Kluyveromyces lactis: one gene and its partner. The protein of the gene in region 2 interacts with the protein of the main gene of each other region in a pairwise test. Links are inferred from orthologs where the notes say so. Each region holds a gene or a part of one and is shown on either strand. Other genes may lie near its edges.

The links.
Region 1: the proteins of NST1 (region 2) and AAN1 interact in binary tests that used the Saccharomyces cerevisiae proteins (3 or more experiments, as listed by UniProt). The link is inferred for Kluyveromyces lactis from reciprocal best matches to the Saccharomyces cerevisiae genes NST1 and AAN1.

Annotation. Positions count from the first base shown.
Region 1 is NC_006042.1:2,441,442-2,444,350, forward strand, and holds AAN1 (Aan1p), read right to left. Parts: upstream 1,620-2,909; coding exon 501-1,619; downstream 1-500. Other genes in the region: PSG1 (Psg1p), read left to right, coding at 1-235; ferroxidase FET3, read right to left, coding at 2,189-2,909.
Region 2 is NC_006039.1:1,177,472-1,181,647, forward strand, and holds the start of NST1 (Nst1p), read left to right. Parts: upstream 1-1,376; coding exon 1,377-4,176. Other genes in the region: YVC1 (Yvc1p), read right to left, coding at 1-103. UniProt on the Saccharomyces cerevisiae protein: With MSL1, acts as a negative regulator of salt tolerance.

The DNA.
Region 1 (2,909 bases), on a different chromosome or scaffold from region 2:
TACTTGGTACTATGTTGCAATGACCATCCCAACAGCAGTATTATTTGCAGTTGTTTTCATGTACTTCTTCGTACAACTTAATGCTAGATACAGAGATTTTAGCGATGTTAAAAGAGACGCATTGAATCAAAAACGTAGAGTCATTGGTAAGTTCAAAGATATGAAAAAATACAAGAACATCAAGAATCACAAATATGACGAACTCCCTCTACACAAAAGTAGTAAACAAAGTTGAAAAGTAACGAACGAATATGTATTTACTCTATATAAATTTTGTATAGCTAATATTTTATGTGCAGTTTGAACATTTAATAATCAAAATTGACATTAGTCACCAAAATGAAAAAGCTGTTAAGAATAAGTTAAGAATAAGTTGAGAACGATGTAAACTAGCCCTTTAAACTTAACGAACTATAAAAGACAATCTTCAGTGCTTGAACTCATGAATATACAATAACAAATGCTATAAACCTATTCACCTGTAGAAGAAAAATATCTTTTCATATCCAATTCTCCTTGGCCGCTACTTCACAGATTTTTTCCAAAGTAGCTACTCGAGGATCAGGCTTTCTAGGCTCTTTGTCTAGTCCATCCTCAGGATCAATGACTTCGATATCAAGACTACTTGACTCATCCGGCAAATCCTCTATATAGTAAAAGAACGGTTCAAGAACAAACATTATTTTCCAAAAGTCAACTGAACCGCAGTTTGCGAACAGCACATCGATCAAACTAGGTAGATAAACCAGCTCAATATACTCTTCCGCACAGCATACAAACTGATCCAATTGGTAATCCTGTTCCTCTACACTCAAAGTAGAGTACATCTCCGATAATAAAGTCAATTCTTTGCTTATGGTTTTTGGAATATCTTGTCTTGCCTTCCAAAGAAGCTTCTGAGCATTAGCTAATTTGACTTCCACATTATCATTATCTGAGCTCGATTTACTATCGAGCATAAAGCCGGAATTCTCACTCTTTTCTATCAAGTCGTTGTATTCATTGTACAAAGAAATAATTTTCATCATAGGTTTGTACAACTGTTGACATACTTTTCTCTCTGATTTCGGTATGATAACCCTTTCCAGATAATGATTAATCAAGCCTTCCATGAAATTAGCCCATATAGAACTGTAGACGTAGTTTTCGTCATAAAGTGTCTCATCAAAATTCTTCTTGATATTCTCTCTCATCACATTTTCTAACAAAGTACAGAACAATTTTGGTTCTTTCTTGATATTTTTTGGCTCCACTTCTTCCTCATAATCCGAGCTATTCGGCTTACCATGTTTGTCCAACCAATAGTCTGGGCCGCCTCGTTGTGAGAGTGTTACTAGCAATAGAAATAGTTTTAATTTATCCATTGGCCTGATCAATTTTAGTACTACATTATCAGAAATCTTCGAAACATCATGATTGATCTTTCTGTGAATGCATGATATGAATGAGTGTATGATACGTGCTGTCCTCTGGCCATAATTGGTGCTTAAATACTCCATGGATGTTACAGTTTTATAATTTGTGTCTTGGAACCTCAAATCTCTAGTAAATTGAAACTTGTATCGCACTTGTTTGCGCGGCTTGCGAGTTGCGTGTGGCACACGAGCTTCTGCGGACATTATCACTATATCCTGTACGTTGTCGAGTTTCTGTAACTTGCTAAGGGTAAGGCCAGCCACTTGTCACCTTTACAAATTCCTTCAGTGAATGTTGATGTCTTCCAAGTTTTCAACACACTTTTGCAGTATCAAAAAGTGAAATTTCAATAGTTTTGTAAAGGAAAAAACAAGATAAACCAATAATGACAAACCCACCGTTAGCATGTATGACAATACTGAAATTTTATACTGAAATATCCAAAAAGAGTTTATTGGATAGAAGATAAATCGTTTCAGGTTAATCAATGAACTACAGTTTTGTCTTAACAGTAATGTGAAATTTCATACACGGCAAGTTATTGTCAACGTGAGTGCACACTAAAACGGCTAAAAAGACGTAAAATAAAAAATACATTACAAAATAATCTACTAAAGATATAGGCTGAACTGCAGTTCAATGGCAAAGTTCTGAATTAATGATAGATCTATGGAATTTCCTTGTTTATTATATTTATAGGAAAAGTATAGGCACTGATCGAATGAATTGGGGGTTTGGAAGGATAATATTAGTTCATTAAACGACATGAGGTTTACTCAATGTTTTTAGATGTTCTGGAAGAATCTTCATCCGAGTTGATATCAGAAACGTCGACCTTTTCGACGGCATCTGGATCCATACCTAAGTCTCTGATTATTTCTTCTTCTGACTTCTTAACACCCATCAAACCGTAGGTTGATAGGGAAATTAAACCAAGAACACCTGCTAGACAGGAAAAGGTCATAGCAACAATACCCTTAGCAGTGAAACCATCTGGAATGTTAGCCACTTGAACGTTTTGACCGACTAGATCCAAGAAATCGTTAGTGTTTCCTGCAGCGTTACCTTCCCAAGAAAGACCGACATTTTCGCAGACTTGCTTGTGGTTATCAGTCAATTGTTGGGATTCAGTGTTTTGCATTTCTTCTGGTGCTTCAATCAACAACAATGCAAGACCTTGCTTCAAATGCCATTCAATGTGACAATGGAAGAACCAAACACCTGGATTGTCGGCTTTGAAACGCAAGACTATACTGGATTGTGGATTCACGTAAACGGTATCTCTCATCATTGGGTAATCTGGGAAAGGATTGTGGTCTTCTGGATCGAATGGATGAGGTCCTTCACCAATTGCATCATCGTAACCACGTTCTCTGTCAACCAATTGGAAAATGTGACCGTGTAAATGGAAAGGATGCTTACCAGTATCGTTGTTATTCAAGACAATTTCAATAATTTCATCCTTTTTCAAGACGAAAGCATTTGTGTTGGTA
Region 2 (4,176 bases):
CTATGCGTAGAATTTGTCTTGAATTAGGGGAAGTATAATTTGATGTATTTGCAGGATCAATCCAGTACTGTTGGGAAGTACTTGGAAGCACAGAAGACTGCATCGCTGCTGACCGGGAGTAATTTATCACTGGCAGATACGCAGGTGGAGTGTGCGACTCTCACTAAACAGAACGGGATGGTTAAATAAATGTACAGCAGAAATATTCTTGGGAAATATCACAGGGACAATAGCTTTTCAAGTTTTGTTTGAGTAGAAAAAGAAAGAAATCATAAACGGCTGTAGATAGTCTTGATGTATCTCGTGCACGTGACCAACAAATTTATCTTAAAAACATGAAATTGCTTAAAAGGATGCACTAGGAAGAGTTAATATGTGGCTTGTTAAACCTATAGTTAGTCAGTATTGTTAATCTCTTGTATATTTGGTCAACCAGGGGTATTTTGTTTTAGCTGGAATCTTGAGGAAGGAGGCGTGCAATTAAAGATAGCGAATCAGAGGACCTTTTATGCGGAGCCAATCTTACTTTAAGCAGTGACATAGAGATATCTCAGGATCATTCGAATCATTTATTAAATATAGAAACGACATAACGGCAATTTAAAGAGTGATCATTTCATCAAACCATAAATGTCACATCAAAGCAGCACTGTATTAACCAAGTTCTCTCGCATTGATCCTGTCATTATCGATTATCGGTAAGCAGGCCTAGAACTCCTTTTCATCCAGCTCTTCATCTTCCGAACTTTAGCCGCCGAAGTTCAAAATATAATTCGAAAACTCCTTCCTTCCAAATCTCTCTTTTTATATAGCACTAAGTAAATATATACGTGTAATTGAGTAACCCTAAGTGAGCGAAGAAAGTACTCATCTCAGACCAGCACGTGATTATTTACCCGCACATTTGCTATTACGTATTACCCGGTTCCGTTATCTCCGTACTTTGTATCTTCCATTTTTTTCATTGTTCACTATGGCTTGCTTGATACGGCACTGAGTGAAATTTTGGAAATCTGGTTTCTTCTCATAGTAAGGAGTTTGAAATTTGAAAAAGCCTTTGAATTCTATCTCATCTGGTTTTTAATAGTGATTCTTTCTTTGTATATAGAAAATTTGGAAATTTAAAATATTGGAATAATGCAAATAAAATGGATATAAAACAAAAATTTGTATAGTGTGTAGTTAAGGAAAGTAAAGTAAAAAGAGGAGTGTAGTTGATATTGAAAGCCGAAACCGGACCAAAGTGCTGCAACTAGTGAAAGAATCTCTAGATCAAAGTTTGGAAAGTATTTACAAGCATCCTTTTACAGTCTTTTTTACTAAAGGTAGTTAAAGAATTAGTGGAAGGATTTAAAGTATCACAGAGAGACTCACAAATGGTGGCACATAAGAAGAGTAAGAAGAAGAGTAAGAAGCAGCATGGTTCTGCGGGTGAAAAGGAATTGCATGAATCGAAGATTCACGCAGAAATCATCGATGATGAAGCAGAGTACCCTACCTCTCGTGTGATCAAAAGAGCCCCAAACGGAGATGTCATAGTGGAATCACTTCCGGAAGAGGAATCATTAGACAGATCAGAACTAAACCAGGATCATCGTTCTGGTAGCAGCAGTAGCAGCACTAATAGTGGCGGTGTTACAAATACTGCAGACTGCAATGCCGATGCTGATAATGAAGAAGTCGAGGATACTAAATGGCCAATCAAGTTAGATACCCATTGGGAATCTTTGTCATTGGAAGAGAGAAGGAATATTCTACGGATAAGCAAAGACGAATTGTTTGATATGATCAAATCGTATAAGAATATGCATAATTGTGATTGTAGCATGTGTGGCCGTCATAACAACCTGAATATAGAGCAAGAAATTGAACAGATATATTGCGAACTTTACGATAGTGCAAGGGAAGAAGATTCAGATACAGATTTTGTACAGTTCCACTTAAAGCTAATAAAAGAATATCAGAATGGTAGTAATAATACACATCACCATATGCGTCACCATGGGGACAAACAGGATTCCAATATTTGTCATGAGAACTTTGCCCATAACGATAACGACGATAATAATGATTCAACGAATAAAAATGCCTTTTTATCTAGCATACTTCCGAAAGAGAAAAATGCTAGCACTTCAGAAAATGAATGTACAAATGATTTCCTCGATTCATTAAGCGAAGATTCAGCCATAAAGTATTGTCTTTCAGAAGGAGCGATAGGGCTGGATAAATCATATCAAGTTGACTTCCTTGGTAAAGAAGAAGTTGATTCAAATATGGACACCATTCCGAACAGTGATAATAAAACGCAGACTGCTTTGGATTGGAAACACGAAATCGAACAATTTAAAAGTAGCAAACAGAAGCAGGTATCTGAGTCTACAACAGGTAAAGAAGCTCTCCCTCCTATCAATGACATAGATAATACTAATGAGGTTATCCCCGAACATGATGAGTTTGACTCTAAGCTTCTCCATTTTGCCAAAACTGTAGTATCTTCTCATCCGCATATTGCCGAGGAATTCATCAACAGAGCTATGATGTATCCCCACATTAAAGCTATAACTGAGGATATGATGAATAATGAAGGTGAAGGTTTGAAAAGAGCTATGGAAAGTCTTGTTCTACAACAGGAACTTCAAGATTGGAGGGAAAACATGGCCGTTTCAATTGAGAAGAAGATCTATGAAATGGACCCCACTGAACCTGTTATAGATGTATCAGAATCCGACAGTCACGAAAATGAAAGGGTGAATGGACCAGCAAATGCTTTAGAAGAAAATAACAAAAAAGACGTTATTGAATCAGACTCTCTGGATAGACCTTCGTTGGTTGATAACAATAAAGTGGATTCTCTGATAGACAGTATTCCGTTTAAATTTGTTAAAGATCCTAAAGCGGTTGCATCGCTGAAAAATGCATTCTATGATATCTTCACTAATAAGACGAGACGCTCTGAAATTGACCAAGACGATAAAGAATATAAAGAAGAACTAGAACGTTTACGTAATGAAATTTCAGCGGACGAAGACCAAGCATCTTATGAGTGGTCCAACGATGAGTATGAAGAAAGCAACGATCATGATGAAGATGCAGAGGGCTATGTTGATGACGAATGTATCGATGATCATCACCTCGATTCTGGCTACGATGATGAAAATGAGGATGAAGATATCATATATGATGACCTACATGAAAACGTGAAACTGAATGAGGACCCTTCTGCTGTGCCAAATGGACACACTCAACTGATTCATCACGACAATTCTGTCACCTCAAATGTATCTGAAGATGGTATAGATGATAATTATGATAGTGAGCTTGATCATGCCGAGCGTTTAGAAGAAGGTAGAAGGCTTATACAGATCGCAATAACTAAATTACTCCAAAAAAAGCTTATCGCTTCCTATCAAGAGAAAGAGGCTGAAAAGAACAGAGAACGATTATTGATGGAACTCGAAGCTGAAGAAAATCAGAAGAAGGAGAAGGAGAAGAAGAAACTAAAGAAGAAGGAGAAGGAGAAGGAGAAAAAACGTCAACAACAACTGGCAAAGGAAGAAGAAAAGAAGAGGCAAGAAGAAGAAGAAATCAGGTTAAAGAAAGAAGCTGAGGAAAAGGAGATTGCTCGAAGAGAAGCTCAGAGGAAAAAAGTTGAAGAAGCTAAACGCAAGAATGATGAGAAACGTAAGAAAAAGTTAGCGGAGCAAAGACGTCGGGAAGAAGAACAAGAGCGCATTCGTAAAGAAAAGGAGGAACAAAAGAGACAGCGCGAAGAAGAACAAAAACAAAAGAAAATGGAAAAGGAAAGAAAACAGCGTGAATTTGAAGAACAACGCCTTTTGAAGAAGAAGGAAGCAGAACAGCTTCAAAAACTAAAGGAAAATCAAAAATTGAATGAGAAGTCAATGCAAAAAAATCAAGACACAACAACCGAAGGTGTTCCTTACGGATCCGTTTCAACCAATCCTCTACAGAATAATTCAACGTTGAATGATGACATTTTCAACATGATCAATGAAGTTTCTAAATCATTGTCGTCTTCACCTTCGCGGAATCAAAACGACTTGCTTGGTTCATCTGTGTTATCGAATGTAGATCACCAAGGTGGATTGAACGCAGGCAATGTGTTCATTCCACCTTCTCTTTCCATGTCAGAAATGTCCCCTCATGCTCAGGCTG